Linked DNA regions of Mus musculus: region 1 is reported to be linked to region 2. The links are microRNA targets in miRTarBase. Many come from high-throughput screens and were not tested one by one. Region 2 holds a microRNA gene; the other region holds the end of a gene's coding sequence.

Evidence for each region. Region 2 holds the annotated microRNA mmu-miR-128-3p (UCACAGUGAACCGGUCUCUUU, at 4,951-4,971, opposite strand). A microRNA usually pairs through its seed, bases 2 to 8, with sites in the 3' UTR of a target mRNA and lowers its output. Matches are read on the target gene's strand: a 7mer-m8 pairs with bases 2 to 8, a 7mer-A1 pairs with bases 2 to 7 and ends in A, and an 8mer does both.
Region 1: the mRNA of Cmtm7 is a reported target of mmu-miR-128-3p. Seed matches in the 3' UTR shown: 7mer-m8 at 680-686.

The regions. Positions count from the first base shown.
Region 1 is chr9:114,749,298-114,757,576 of GRCm38, reverse strand. It overlaps Cmtm7 (CKLF-like MARVEL transmembrane domain containing 7), which reads left to right. Exons shown (of 5, transcript NM_133978.2): 5 at 286-741. The coding sequence ends at 299. It overlaps Cmtm6 (CKLF-like MARVEL transmembrane domain containing 6), which reads right to left. Exons shown (of 4, transcript NM_026036.3): 4 at 8,234-8,279. Among named protein-coding and RNA genes, the nearest start is that of Gm9888, 14 kb to the left of the region's middle.
Region 2 is chr1:128,198,688-128,207,374 of GRCm38, reverse strand. It overlaps Mir128-1 (microRNA 128-1), which reads right to left and starts at 5,014; the gene lies at 4,945-5,014. The region is part of intron 19 of R3hdm1 (R3H domain containing 1); the gene reads right to left.

The sequences.
Region 1 (8,279 bases), not on the chromosome of region 2:
AGCTTCTCAAAATTCTAGGTTTACACGTGTGCACCACCACAATGATGCATGCATGCTGTGTTCATTAAAATCTGTAAAAACACGAGGTTTGTGGTGCATGCTTGTGATCTCAACTGTGGGAGGCTGAAGTGGGCAGACCCTCAGGTCAAGGCAATCATTTTACAATCCTATCAAACAAAACCACACACACACACACACACACACCCACACACAATTTGGAGCCCATGGCTTCTGAGTGGGTTCTATTCCCAGAAAGATAACCTAACTCTCCATTTCTCTCCCAAGATGCATCTGCCTGATGAGGCCACAGCCTCTGGAGGACCCTCGCCATGGCTGTGGACTCTTCAGGCGACAAGGCCTGTGCCTTCCCTGCTTTGCCAGGATACTGGGCTCCTGGGCATCTACAGCCTCCTTTCACAGTCTGCTGCAGAGGACATCCCTCCGTTCTGGGCTGTTAGCACCACTCAGGTACCAAGGACTGCTCTGAGCACAGTAGAGAGACTTGTGGATCTGCCTGCATAGACACGCCTTTCTTCATACCCTCAGGACCGAGACCACACAGAGGCCGAAGACCCTAATTTATCTGGCCTGTCAATCTGGTCTTGAAGCGTCTCTAAGTGAAGAGCCAGAAGAAACACTATGTGGCCATCCTGTCTCCTGCCCCTATCTCTGCCTTTGTCACTGTGGGTGGGGGTGGGGGTGGGGAGGTGCATAGTTTTTAATAAAATGTCAATTGCAGCAGGTTTCCTTATTGCATGAGATGTCTCTAACACTAGGCCTTTCTATGCCAGCTTGAGTGTGGACTCCTTGCTAAATGCCCATCCTCCTAGACTGGCTTCAAACTAAATTATGTAGCTGAGGTTGACCTAGAACTCCTGATCCTCTTGCCTCTACCTCCCAAGCACTAAGATTAGAAGTGTGTGCTAGGACACCCAGTTTTGTGTGGTGCTGGGGATGAATTTCCTCCATACATATTAGGCAACCACCCTACTAAGCTGACATCCCATCCCCCAGTCACACACACACACACACACACACACACACACACACACACACATACACACACACAAGCTTCCCATCTTACATAGTTTTGGGTTGGCCTTGAACTTGCTTTTTTGTTTGTTTGTTTGTTTGTTTGTTTGTTTTTCGAGACAGGGTTTCTCTCTGTAGCCCTGGCTGTCCTGGAACTCACTTTGTAGACCAGGCTGGCCTCGAACTCAGAAATCCACCTGCCTCTGCCTCCCAAGTGTTGGGATTAAAGGCATGTGCCACCATGCCCGGCCCTTGAACTTGCTTTGTAGGCAAAAGTGACCTCTGAACTCCTGATCCTTCAACCTCCATGTCCCTCCCTGGGATCCTAGCTGTGTCACCATATCCAGCTCTGATTTTTATATCCTGGGCCTTAAATTCCCTTCCAGTTAGGACGTGGGATCTGGGGTGATTTTCAGGCGCACACTGGGAGGCCAGCCTGGTCTACAGAGTGAGTCCTAGGACAGCCATGGCTACACAAAGAAACCCTAGAAGGGGCAGGGGTTGGGGTGGGGAGAGAGAGAGAGAGAGAGAGAGAGAGAGAGAGAGAGAGAGAGAGAGAGAGAGAGAGAGAGAGAGAGAGAAGTGTTAGATTCTCAAAGCAATGGGAGGCATTCATTGCACGTGGCAGGGAAGCTGAGGTGAAACAGTAGTGGCAAAGTAGAGTCAGTAGATTGTAGTGGCCATCTGTGCTGTGGCCAGCAGCCCCCGGGTTGAGAAGAGGGGGCCATAATTGGGCCGCCTCTCCTCCACTGTAGCCAGCACAGTCCCTGGGCCTGACTAGGTCCTGGTCGATGGCAAGCTCTGCTACAAGTGTGAGTTCTGTGGGGCTCCGAGAGGTTCTGGAAACCGGCTGGCTTCGAGGCCCTAGGGAAGCCACCAAGCTTGGACATACTACTAGTGTGGCCTGCAAGACCCAAGAAGGAAGCCAGAAGGACAAGAGAGTGATGTGTTGCTGGTACCTGACTCCAAGGTTGGCCGTCTCCTGAGCCTGGACAGGACAGCAGAGTTCACTAGCTTCCCTCATCAGTGTTGACCAAAGGTGGGAAGCAGACCCAAAATCTGCTTGTTCCAGGGGTCCAAAGTGTCTGCTAACACAAGGGACAAACTTCTACACATTTAGGGTCTTCAGGCCCCTGTGCAACACCACCACCTCCCTCTTTTGGATGTGGCTAACTCGTGTCCTATTAACCTAAGGAGGAATTGTGGGACTACAGACATGCAGTGCATGTATGAAGTATGTGTTAACAGGGCCATACACAGGAAGTGCATGTATGAAGTATGTGTTAGCCAGGAGAGACAGATCATGTTTACTGATCCTGCAGGAGACTTGGCTCCATTGCCAGTACACACATGGTGGCTCACAACCAACTGTAACTCATTTCTTCCAGGGACTCCAATGCCCTCCTCTGGTCTCAGCAGACACTGCATGAATTTACAGGCTGCAGGAAAAACACTCGCACATGTAAAATGATTAAGTCTCAATGAGAGAGAAGTGTGATATTATCACCTTACAGTCACACAGACCAGCTAGCCACCAGTGGCAAATAGCAATGGTGCAACCCTCGCTGTGGGCATCTCTCCCTGTCCAGGCTGTGAGGGCTGCTGACTCCGTGTGGCCTCCCTGTACCACAGTGAGACCTGTCTGTTGAAACCTTGCCTGCAGAGGAACAGGAGAGAACAGGGCTGCAGCCACCTCTCTGCACAAGAGCCTAGGCTCTTGCTCTCTCTCTCTCTCTCTAGTAAGACATGGAGTCTCTATAGCCCAGGCTGGCCTTGAAGTCCATACATACCCAAGGATGCCCTTAAACCCCTGATCTTCCTGCCTCCCTGTTCCAGATGCTGGGATTATAAGTATAAACCACAGACCCCTCTGTGTTTATCAACCAGCCTTACAATAAGTAAATGTCATTTGTGTTATTAGTTGTGGATATTTGCCGATTCCCTGTTCTATAGAATAGACTTTCAAGAATGAACTGAATTGAAGAGATTTTTCCCTTTTTTTTAAAGATTTATTTATTTATTTTATGTATATGAGTATGCTGTAGCTGTCTTCAGACACACCAGAAGAGGGCATCAGATCTATATTGCAGATGGTTGTGAGCTACTTTGTGGTTGCTGGGAATTGAACTCAAGACCTCTGGAAGAGCAGTCAGTGCTCTTAACTGCTACACCATCTCTCCAGCCTGAAAAGATTTTTTTTTTTTTGCTATTAAAAAATAAATTTAATTCACTTAATAGAGTGCTCATCCAGCATGCAAAACATGCCCTCAGTGAAGAAGCCTGTGGTGGTCCGTTCATAATAACAAGGCAGAAGTGGAGACAGGAGGATCGGAATTCAACCAAGGGCAGGCCAGGATAGACCAACCTTTACTAAAAACAAAAAGGTAAGTGTTGTGTAACTCCTGCATTCTGGAGGCTGAGGCAGGAAGATGCTAAGTCTGAAGCTAGCATAGCTACACGTAGGGAGACCTTGTCTCAAAAAAAATAAAATAAATAAAAAAGTAAAAATGTAAAAATCATTTTAAGGTATCTTTTGTTGTTTTGGTTTTGGTCTTTTTGAAACAGGGTTTCTCTGTAGCCTTGGCTGTTTTGAAACTAGCTCTGTAGACCAGGCTAGCCTTAAATTCTGTGATCCACTTGCCTCTGCCTCCCAAGTGCTGGGATTAAACAAAACAAACAAGCAAAAAACCCAAAAATTTAAGCCACCACGATCCCAAAAAAGTGAGTTCCAGAACTAACACAGAGAGACTATATATATATATATATACATATATACATATACACATATGTATATATATGTGTATATATATATATTAATAATAGTTGAACATTTTTTTAAAAGTTTGTAAGAAACCGGTATGAAAGATGCTTCTAACCTTACAATGGCCTGGGTGACCAGCTCCAAGAGGCTTCCCCTCAGAAAATACTCACTACCTCCTGGGAAGGTGAGGACAGTCAGTAGGTTCCTAAGATTTTACTGTCTTCTTATGTATCTAGAAAAACTGCAAAAATAAAAAATATCCTCATGCGCGCGCACACACACACACACACACACACACACACACACAACCGATTGGCTACCACCTGAGGATGATCGCTGTCCGGATCAGTCAGGGTTCTCTAAACTGCGGCAGATCCTGCCTTCTGGGCGCTTCGCTTCGGAGGTGGCAGCTGGCCCAGGGCTGCCAGCTGCTCACTGATGCCAGCTGCCCCAGTGACCCAGAAAATTGGAAATCTGGGCCTTCTAGCTAAGCATCTCCCAATCTGGAAACGTTGCCAACGAAACCTAGAAACGAAGCTGAAACCAAACAAGCCCTGTCTGGGGGCACACCCGGCCGGCTCGCCCACTGGCAAGTGACCCCGCGCGTGTCCTGGCGGTAAAGCGGGGAAGTCCTGCTGAGGCCCGCAGGGCTGCCAGCTGTTTCCTCTGCGGCCTCGCCAGGCGGAAGCCTCCCTCCCCTGCCGCAGTTGTGCATGCCTGCAGCAGCCTCTCCTCCCAACCGCGCTCTACTTCCTAGTTGCAGAAACTCCACCCTTAGGTGGAGGCCACCGACTTGCGCCCACTCGTGCAGCGCGCGCCCCCTGGCGACCAGAGGAACGCACTGCCACTCCTGCCCGGCCAGAGCAGAGGCTGAGGTTCTGACGTAGAGCAGAGATGTGCACACTTCTGTGGACGCACAGATTAGTCATAGTCTTCCATTCAGGGCACACAATAACCACTGGCCCACGCCTGGCCGTCCCCTTCCTACCTTCAGATTAGCTTTCCCCTTAATTTCTCGAGAGAGATAGCTCTCTCTCAAGCACGCGCACACACACAGGATTTATTAGAGTGGCTTGCAGGGGACACAGGCTTGCCCAGATACTTTGGTTCTCGTAGATTGCAGATGTGGCCGAGTTGACAACCAAGATTAGCCATCACATGATGCTTATCGTCTCTTGCGCCCATCTTTCTCTTTCCACCATCACTTCCGGAACCACCGATCACCACACAGTTGCTTTTCTTATGTTAGTTCTACTCTAGAGCACATGAGTTCATATGTCAGCAGGGGACATCCCCGTGTAGCCTTGGTGGCTTTATTTGCCTGTCACCCTACTGGCCTCAAGCCACACCTTCTCTCCCACATCCTTAATTTATTTTAAAGATAGGGTCTCAGTGGAGATAAAGGCACAGTCCTTTAATCCCAACACTCGGGAGTCGGGAGACAGAGGAAGGTGGATCTCTGTGAGTGCAAGGCCAGCTTGGTCTACAAAGTGAGTTCCAGGACAGCCAGGAATATAGGGTCAAACTCTGTCTCAAAAAAGAAAAAAAATAGGGTCTTACTCTGTACCTATGTACCCCAGGCTGCCCTGGAACTCATAATGATCCTCCTGTCTCAGCCTCTCAGTCTGGGATTATAAGTGTACACCACTGTGTTGGGCATCTCCTTATTTTTAAAACATTTATTATTTTTATTTTATGTGTTTGAGTGTTTTGCTTGCATGCATGTGTGCAAACATGCACACATGGTACCTACAGAGGCCAGGTTAGGGTGTCAACTCCCCTAGAGCTGAAGTGACAGATAGTTGTGAGCCACCACGTAGGTTATATAACATGTCTGTTATTCCAACACTGGGAGGTGGAAGCAGAAAGATCAGAAGTTCCCTGCTGAGAGAGGCGGGAGGAAGAACAACAAAAAATACAAATACAAAATGTTGAGGACTGTATAAACATTTTATTTTATACACGAGTGCTCTATCTGCATGTACACCTGCATGCCAGAAGAGGGCATCAGATCCCATTATAGATGATTGTGAGCCACCTTGTGTGGTTGCTGGGAATTGAACTCAGGACCTCTGGAAGAGTAGACAATGCTCCTAACCATTGAGCCATCTCTCCAGCCCCCCACAAAAATTTGTTTAAAGGGCTGGTGAATATGTTCAGCAAAAAAAAGGCATTTGCTGAGTTGGATCCTGGGTCTCCCTCATGGTGGACAAAGAGCCCTGCCTCCCACAAGTCTGACTTCTAACAGGCACTGTAACATGCACATACACAGACATATAGGAACATTAAAAATAAGTTGGGGTGCCGGGCGGTGGTGGCGCACGCCTTTAATCCCAGCACTTGGGAGGCAGAGGCAGGCAGATTTCTGAGTTCGAAGCCAGCCTGGTCTACAAAGTGAATTCCAGGACAGCCAGGGCTATACAGGGAAACCCTGTCTCGAAAATAAATAAATAAATAAGTAAATAAGTAAATAAATAAATAAATAAATAAATAAGTTGGGGTAATGAGAATCCTTGCTGCCTTTTACAGCTGCCTTTATTTTAAAAAGTTTCTGTGATGCATATTACTTATAGAACTATAATTTAGCCTAAAAAAAAAAAAAAGACATCTCAGAGCGGTCAAGACTACAATTGTGTGTTCACACACGTTCATGTGTGCAGTACACATGTGTGAACATGCATAAGCACATGGGTGTGTAGACCAGAAGAAACCAGAGTTTCCTGGGAGCCAGATCTCATCAGCCTGGAGCTCACCAGGCAGGCCACACTGGCTGGTCAAAAACCCCAGGCAGCCACCTATCTCTGCCTCCCCATTGCAACATATGCAACCACACCTGGCTCTAGGTAGGTTCTGGGGTTCAAACTCAAGTCTTTGCAACTTTGCAAGCATTGTCTGGACCATTTCCCAGACCATAATAAGTGCTTTATAAACTGGGGGCTGGTTGGGCTTTTTGGTTTGGGCAGTTCAAGGCAGTTTCTCTGTATAGCCCTGGCTTTGCTGTCTAAGCCAGGCTGGCCTTGAACTCACAGAGATCCACCTGCCTCTGCCTCCCAAATACTGGGATCAATGGTGTCTGCCACCATTGCCTGGTGTAATCAGTGCATCCAACATTGTCTTCAGTCTCACATGATGATCCCGTTCCTCTGTTAGCAAAACCAACTTTGATAGGTAGAGGGCAGCTTTAAATCCAGGTATTTTCATACTGGTGTGTGCGTGTGTGGCGTGGGGACGGGGGTCTAGATTATGTTACTCTAGTCACAGTGCATTAATCACAGTCAGCAAGCGCAACCTTGAACTCACCTGCAAAATGAGTCAAACCCACTAAGGGCTCATGGGGAACTCTGGAGAATCAACAACCCTTCCTCACCTCTGGACAGTCCTGTGACTGTAAAGTCTCAACTCTGTGGACAGAAGTCTCAGCAGAAAATGGGTGGGCATTAGCGATCCCCCTGCCCCAGCCTCACAGGCCGCCCGCCACCAGGAATGCTTTACTGTCGGCATTCCCTGCTTTAGGTCTTCTGCTCTTTGCAGCTGGCTGCATATTGATACAATGTTTTTTATCAACAAAAAACAAACAAACAAAAAACCTGAAGAATGTACAAATCCCAGTGAATTTCTGAGGACTAACTATAAAGATCCTGTTATTCTCTAGGGACTGGAGGCAGGAATTTTACAAACTCCACAAATAGTTCTGCTTTAGCACAACGACGCCCTGGCTCTGCTTCGCACTGTCCAGTGATTGAGCTGTCCCAAACAGATGCCTCTATCTGTCCACAGCACAGGAGCCACATCTAGGGTGTTAAGCAGAGTCCAAAACTTCATTCTTACAATGATTTAGGTGGAGGTGACATGCAGCTGTGACCCCAGAATCTGGGAAGCAAGTACAGATGGACCTGGAGGTCAGTGTCATCCTCATCGACAGAGTGAGTTTGGAGCCAGCCTGGGCTACATGAGACCCTGTGTCAGAACAGAAGGGAAAGGAGAGAGAGGCGAAAGGAAGAGGAAAGAAAAGGGGGGGAGGGATTTAAAACCACCCGATGTCTAGTATTCTTCTATAATTCATGCCATGGGATTCCCTAAAAAGTATATTTTTGTTTTCATTTATTTATTTGGCTGACCTGGAACTCACTCTGTAGCCCAGGCTGGCCTTAAACTTACACAGATCTGCCTCCACCACAGCTAGCTCTTACAGTATTTTCCCTGCTATGTAAACCAGGTTGGCTTTAAGCTGGTGACCTTCCTGCTTCAGCCCTAAGTGATGGCATTGGAGACTCCTGTGCTGCCACAGCCGACAAACATGATGTTTAAGTCCGAATCCCACTCTCCAGAAGACAGCCCGTGTATTGGACACGTACAGACATGGGGACAGCTAACCCCTCAAGTGAGGGCCTCATCTAAATAAGTCTGTAATTAATGAACAACTGTGAAGGCACAAACACTGGAATTAAGAGGATTTATTTTAAAAGATTATAAAAGTTGATATTAA
Region 2 (8,687 bases):
ATGTTTGTGGCTCAGTCATTAAACCTCTTTTCCAATAGCTGAGACACAAATTTCATATAATTAACCATGAAATATTGAATTGGTTAGGGAAAAAACCCCTGCTATTATTTTAACATATCTGAAACAAGTGCAATAATCAGGTGCCTTTCAAATAACCTTACTTGATGATAAGACAGATATTCATAGCAGAAAATTTAAAAATTTAATAACTGCAAAACTTTCATCTATAATCACTAATTGCTATTCTATTTGCCTTTAATGCACCTAAATATGATTATACAAGCTATGGGAAGGAAGTGTGTAAATAAATTTTCTTTTTTAAATGAAAAATTTATTTATTTATTTTTAAAATGACAATTTTTTAACCTGAGATTTATTTATGTATATGAGTGTTTTGCTTGAATGTATGTCTATGTACTATGTGCATGAAGTGCCCAAGGAGGTTAGGAGAGGGCATCAAGTCCCACGGAACTAGAAATACAGGCGTTTCTAAGTTTCCATGTGGGTGTAGGAACCGAACCCAGGTTCTCTGAAAGTATTCCTAAGTATTAAGCCATCTTTCCAGTCCCTAAATAACTTTTCTTAAGACCAGATGATTAGGCCAGGTGGTACGTGGATCTCAACACTCAAGAGGTAGAGGCAGGGAGATCCTGGTGCGGCTGAGATCAGCCTCATCTAAAGAGTAAGCTCTAGGCTGGACAAGGTGATACAGTGAGACCTGGTCTCCAAACAAAACAAAACAATACAACACAACATAAAACAAAACATGCTTAGACCTTAAGTTTAACAATTAAAAGATAAGAAAATAACTCAGTTTATCTCTCCCACACTTTAGGAGAACATGTACTGAGAAGCTAAAAAGGCTGAATATTTTAGGACAAACTGTATTCTGGTCTCTAGCATAAAAATTCAAAACTCCTATGCTCTCTCACTTAGAATATCAGGTAAGTATCACTGCCTCAAAGGCATTCCGGGTATTAGCAGCTAACGGTCATCAATTTATTAGATGTCAGCACTGCTCTGTGCACACAAATAACTTATTCCACATTTATAGAGACAATTATTTCGGAAACACAATTATCCTCATTTTTCAGGTGAGGAAACAAAGGCACAGAAAGGTTCATACCTTAGTCCAAGGTCAGAAGCCGGTCAGTGTATAGCTGGGATCTGCATGTAAGTTTTACCTTCCCCAGAGACAACTGTTGACGTGGAATGAGTACTACAGAAATACTCAAATAAGAAGGATCTGTGATCTTTGATTTTCTGAGAGTTTTGGTTAGAGAAGATATCTACTCTAGTGTAACACACCTAATGTTCTAGGTAATTTTAATTGGGGAAAATGTAGAGTTTGTGTTTTTTATTTATTTTTTTTATTTTTTATATTTTTTTAAAAGAAGAAACTATGTAGCCCTAGCTGGCCTCATTATGTAGACAAATCTGCCTTTGCCTGCCTTTGTCTCCTCCCTAAGTGTTGGCATTAAAGGCATGTGCTACCATGTGTGGCAAGAAAACAGAATTATTATAAATGAGGTGAAACAGTCAGCCAACTAACTGTCCATTTGAATTAAAGAATGTTTGTGAGAACAGACATAATTATCAAAAATAGAAATCAACAGGAGTTAGTACCGAAAGCAGCTATATGGACTGCGGAGTTAAAAGCCACCCAGAGTAAGGTTATACAAGCAGTCCACGTGTACTCACTGTTTTCCCCACTCTCTTGGCATGGTTTGTGTATTTCAAAGTTATATGCCTGCTTGACTTATGAGATTAGCTTTCTCAGTAGAAAACTATTAGGAAAGGGAGTAGAAGCCCAAAGCATAAGGAATCTCAGCTGCTCTGGGCCTTGCATCCTGAGTGCTCCCCTTTCAATCTACAGTAGTCTTCTTGAGGATTCAGCTTGGTAGTTTTATTTGAGGTTGCTTTTTGCTTAAAAGAAAGACTCTGTTGCCATATTCTGGTTGAGTCTGTAGAAGATTTTAACAGATGCTGGCTGTCTTCTCCACAATCTCAGACTTACTCAGTGGGGCTAAGTCTGTTTTCATTAGGATACCTCATAAGCAGGGAAGCTGTTTTGCTTCATGTCTTGGGGTTGTCTGAAGCAATAACTTTCCCCCACCACCCACAGAGTTGCTTTCCATTCATTTTAGCATCAAGGGGGAAAACACACCAGGGTTGAACCATACTGGTAGGAGACATCAGGAATCTTTGCAATGGAACCTTTCTAAGACTATCACAACCAAAACCATCAAGAGGGAAATTTTAATGGTATTAGAACAAATATTTGAGTTTTTATTTTTGAAATCATAATGGAACGATTCATTCTTTATTCTAATAATTTTAAAACCCAGGAAATGGCTAATAAGCAATTCTGGATTGTACTTTCTAAAGAGCAAGATATTAAAATATTATTGGACTTTCCATAGTGCAAGGTAACTGTAGGGCCTGCTGTCCAAAGATTATCACACTACAATAAAAAAGAAAGTTAGAAACATGGAAAGCTCTAAAAACATGACAGGGCATAATACTGTATTTCAAACACAGATAAGACTCTTCCTGTCATTAATGAAAACCCTATCATTAATCACTTAGTATCACATGGTATAAGGCATGTCTCACTTTATGTACATCCATTGAATAAAAATAATACTATTTAAAAAGTATTTAAACTGCTTGAAAATTTTTTCTGAACTTCTGTTTAAACAAAGCAATTTTACAGCATTCAGCCTGGGTTGTTAGTAGTATCACCTATGACAAGTGGCTCTGTGATTCAAGTTTCTTATCTAATCCTTCAGACAAGTGGAAATGGTACATAGTTTCAAAAATATAGTGTGAAGATTGCCAAGTATGAGACTGAGGATAAGGAAGGAGAAGTGAATTCCTAGAGAAAGAAAAGTACCATTGGGTTAAAAAAGCGCCACAAGAGCATTTCCAGTATCCTGACACAATAAGCCACCCCTCCCCCAGGACAGCATAAATCATTCCTTATCAAAAGTAGTTTCCGTGTATGAGAGAATTTAAACTTTTAAAATTTTTCTCTGTGACTTATTTAGAAATAACCAGAAAGAGATAAGTGAGTTATCTTTTATTGGAATTTGTCAATCTGGGGGAAAGTATTATTCAAAAAGTAAGGAACAGTAATAAGAGATTTCAAGCAGAATTCACTGACATCCTATTATCAATACGAGTGTTTAACACTCCCATTCTTTGTTAAAGAACTATGCTGCTGCAACATTATCCAACTTCTTCCAGGACTTTCTGAGAGCAGCAACAATTCTGCAACCTGAGAGAGCAAGATCAGTTTGAATTGTTGGCACTACAATAATCCTGGAAGGTTATAAGGAACTTTCTATTTTTAACTCTCAACAGAAGAGAGCAGGAAGGAAAATCAGTGCTCAGTAGAAAAGTGCTAGCTAGACTTACTTTATCATAGGTGACCTGAACTAGCATTTGTGTTAATGGAAAGCATCCTTCAAAACAGATTAGCCATAATCAGATAGACAAACTGAAGAAATGGTTCATCAACATGGCCATCACCAGGATTCTAGGTTTACTTCCTTACCAGTATTAACATCCTTTCTTTAAAGACTGGGTTTGTTGAAAGAAGCACTGTGAAGGGAGTTAAGCCTTTAAAAGGCATTTTTGCTGAATCTAAATTACATATGAACTAGGTGCTCAAATGGAAATTTAGAAGATTATGAAATTTATAAACCAGGTACTATTTGGAGAACAAGCAAGTTCAACCAAAGACTGCTCTCAGTTATACTTGGTAAGAGACAGAGCTGCTAACACAACCTCTCTAGTCTTTCTTCTCTGTCAAGCTTTAACTCAACAGAAATGCCAGGAAAAACCAATCTGAATAAAATGAGCCACAGAGAAGTTACATCTCTTAGTTATTTAAATAACTATCCTAAACAACTCAAGAAAACCTGTAAGTACTTACCAAATACATTTGCTCCATATTTCAGAGGCAGCAGATTAATGGAGAGGGGAAATGGAAATAGGTGGAGTTGTACTTTTTATACAATTTCTGAAATCTATGCTGTTCATGCAACACTGAAAAATGCTCACAGAATCAACAAAAAACTAAGTAAAACCAGGGCTACCACCTAGTAATACAAAGTTCCTATTACATGGTTACAAATTGACAGGAGAGAGATGATCAGTTTTGTTCTTATAAAAATGTAACTCAATCTCTTGTCAATATAATTTACCTCTGCTTACCCATTCTTCTTTGTCTTTCATGTTCTAGTTACTTTTATATGTAACATACAGTATATGTGGTATAGGAGATGGACCCTGTGGCTTCATGCAAAGCACCCTACCAACTGAGTTACACTACCAGCTTTCCTTAATCCCTAGGTCCTTTCTAATCTGTGGCCCGCAATGCTGCCTATATTCTGCATATCACAGATCCTGTTCATTCTGGATAAAATTATATTCAGTTTCACAGAATTATTATGGTTCTCATAGGCACTTAATAGTAACAGTTTAGGGGAAAACTGAACTATGTATCTTGGTAAGGGCCCAAGCAGCTTAAAATGCATGTGGTATCTTTGGTTCATTTGGTCCAGATTTTAATGAATAATTATGCCCCTAAAAAGTTGTATAAAAACAGGGAAAGAGACAAATTTGATGTCTAGTAATGAGTTTGGCATGCTTAAGATGTTAAACTCTGTTAGATAAGATGCAAACCAAATTGAATCTTAAAAAAGCATCCAAATATGCTTTGGAAAAGAAATGAAAGCAACAGATAATTTGAATTTTTAAGGATAAATTGTATGAAGCCAAGGTTGTTACTTAAATTCAAATCCTTATTTCTGAGTATGATGCAAAATTAAAAGGTAATTATAGGCAATGGAAAATATAAACAAATATTAGTATCTTAATATAGCATAGAAAAAAAAAGCAAAAAAGCAAAAAGAAGTAAAAAGAAGTCAGGAAGCAGCTGAAAAAGAGACCGGTTCACTGTGAGAAATGTAAACCTCTCAGACAGTGCTACGGCCCCGAATCCAACAGCTCAGGAAGAAGGCCAATTATTGTAAAATATAAGCACATAAGGAGAAGCTGCAAACTTTTCAAAAGAGTCCAAGAATGAAAGCAGCTACGTATCAAAGAGTCAGGGCCTATAAACCTGTCATTGCTAACGTCACTATTTCTTGGTCCATTTCTTTCAAGTTTTTATAGTGTATGTATTATACTGTATATACTATCCTATACGTATGCTAAGAGTTGAAATAATTAGTTACTAGTATTGCAATTAAGAACTAGCAGATTTTTTGAAATAGCTGCTTGCATGACTGCAGTTATTAACAGTAAGACACTAAGGTATTTTAAGTCAATTCTGATATTCACCTTTCTAAACCAGAAATGACTTAAAAAAAAAAAAAAAGACACAGAATCTTTCCATTTTGGAGTCCACAAAGGCTAGACAATATAACAACACAACCTAATTCTGTGAGTGATCAAACTCAAAGTCCCAGGCATTAACTAACAGAACTAATATTAGTTTAAAAAATGCCTGTGGGGGCAGGAGAGATGGCTCAGTTAAGAGCACTGGCTGATCCTGCAGGAGGGCCTAGGTTCAATTCCCAGCATCCACTGCAGGCTCACAACTGTGTGTGATTTCAGTCTCAGAGGACTCATCCTCTACCAGCCTCCTTGGGCAATGTATGTATGTAATGCACAGACACACAAGAAGGCAAAACATCTATACACACAAACTATAATAAATAAAATGAAATAAAATAAATTAAAGGTTAAAAAAAGGAAGAAAAAAAAACCATAGGTCACTGGGATTCTGATTTACAGTCTGCCGTTCTTTCACATTACACACTGTATTGTCTGGAAAGCTTCATACAGTCAGGACTTCCATAAATGTGTTTTACATGTGCTGACTTCATCTTATTTTGAATGACCACAGTCAGTGAGTTTACATTCACCACACAAGACTAAGACAAGACTCCCCTATGCTAATACTGCTCCACTGGGCTCCCACAGTATAAGGGAATTTATTGTCAAGGAGATCAATACACTGGCAAAGATATGGTTACAACACTAAAGCATTTTATCTGAAAAGAATTTCTCAAAGTTTCTTCTACAAGGAGGAAAATAACAGAAAATCATTTATTTTTATTGTCTATACAAAACGTGGTCTCAGAATTGACTCAGATGAGTTTGTTAATTTAGGGAAAATGTTCTTTAAATTCATATATAAGCATTTAAGTCTTAGTAATGCCATGCTAAAATACTTTGGTGCAATTTTTCATTATTTGGCTGAATAATTAGCTCCATTTTTTTTCATGAAATCAAAGAGAATAACAAGCTTTGTGAGCTCCTTTTGGGTATGAAGGCATGGTGGATAAGAGCCAAAAAACAGTGATCAATAAAGTTTACATTTTAGTTAGTTGTAATGGTTAAACATAAGAAAATATATTAAGACATAAACTATGTTTACATATGAAAATTGGGGCAGAAATCAGTAAACAGAGAAACAATAACAACAACAACAAAAACCCAGAAATTACCTAATCTTCTAGTTCTTTGTTCTAATATTACGATTTAGTTATATATTTTTTTTAAGTCTTAGTATAAAAAAACTTAGCAAACTATAGTCTTAAGATTCAGTTTTGCTTAAAAGAGTTCAAATTCCCACCAGTTCTATAAAAAGGCTAGTACAATTACCTACACATAACTGCTTCTGCTTATTGAAAATTTCCATAAAGGTAATGTTTCTATTTCTATATATTCTTTCTATACTTACAAGCATAACAGAATATTTGAGGATTTTCTTCTTATTCTTCAAACAGAATGAGGCAAAACTAACAACTTAAGCTAGCTACTACTAGGCAAATACAAAAAATAAATAAAAGCTCAAGCTCTCATCACAGTGATTTATTATACCTGACACCTAGGAGTCAGATAATGTCACAAACTATTGAAGATAGGTTGACCTTTTCTGCACTTGTGCTGTCCAGATGCAGGTTGGCTTACTGTGTTCTTCTCTTTTGTCTTAACTAACACCTGAAAATCCACACTTAAACTAACACAAATGATAGATAGTGATACTTTCTACCACATAGATATGTCTATTTGGCATTAAAAAAAAAATTTTTTTTTTAATTAAGTGGGGATAACTGTGTGGAGAGATGCAACTGAATTAAGTACTACAGTCCCAACAGGTGACTAAGTTTTTATTTTATAAACTGATTATGGTAAGAAATACATTTTTACCTCAGAAAGAAGATAAAACTAAAAGCTTTCATAAATACACAGCAGAGGACCTTTGCTGCCTATTAACAGGGTTTGATAACACAGAGAGTCATATAAAAAGTACTTAAATAAATGGCATGAGAGTCAACTTACTTTAAAAAAATTATTCATTTGTTATATGAGTACACTGCAGCTGTCTTCAGACAGACAGTGGAACAGGGCATCAGATCTCACTACACATGGGTGTGAGCCACCGTGTGGGTGCTGGGAATTGAACTAAGGCAGAGCAGCCAGTGTTCTTAACCACTGAGCCATCTCTCCAGCCCCAACTTACTTTTTTCTATTGAAGTTTTTTTGATTTTTTTAAAGGTATTTTATGTGCATAAGTGTTGTAGAAGCCTACATGTAGGTTTGGTGTCTGTGGAGTCAGGTGAGTGCTTTGGATTCCCTGGAACTGGAGTTACAGATGTTTGTGAGCCACATGTGGGTGTTAGGAATTGAACCAGGGTCCTCTACAAGAGCAAGTGCTCTTAAGCTCTAAGCCATTGCTCCAGTACTCAATTTACTTTTTATAAAATTAGTGAGCTATCACAGGAAGGGATGTTGCCAGGCAGCAAATGCCTGCTGAGCATAGACAAAGACTGGAGTCTAATACCCAGGACCACAGGGGGAAAAACCATAAATAAAAACAAATCACATCAGATGTTATAATTTTAGAAGGCAAAACAAAAAAGATATACACTACGAAAAGTCAATTATTTTCAGGCCCAAGAAAGCACAGAAAAAATGCTTTCTTTACTATTATTTTTTAAGGTTTTTGTTTTAATTTTGACATATGGTGCTGTTATACAGCCCAAGTGTACCTTAACCCTGCTGTGATCTTCCTAACCTCAGCCCACATAGCGCTAGCATAGGCATATGTCACTGGTCCCAGCTAGAATATCATTTTTATTAGAATAATACAATTGTCTATGTGACCTTAAATGAGCAATAGTATGATCAATGTTCATGAGCAATCTCATTTTTATAAAAACCTTTTATAAAAAGTTATAATTATAAGATACGAGTGCGAGAGTTTACATGATGTGTCATAGAACACATGACAACTTTGTGGGGCTGGTCCTTTCCCCTCTACCTTTACAGAAGTCCAGGAATCAAATTCAGGCTGTCAGGCTTGCGCAGTAAGCATCTTTACCTGCTGAGACAACTAGCAAGCTAGCAACAACTTTGATATCTTCTTAACTTAAAATATAAACTGTTTATATTCTTTGACATGGGCCATATTACTAGGCTTCAGGCAAATCTGACATTAAAAGGAGTCATATTTGAGACAAAAAAAATTATAGTTTAGCTAAAATGATCAGAAGATGCCAAAGCATGTAGGAAAATACCTGTTGCATGTGTAATGTAGGGCTAGTGAACAGAAAAAGGAGCCCAACCACTAAGAACAGAAAACTTTCAGGTATAGCAGGTTAAGG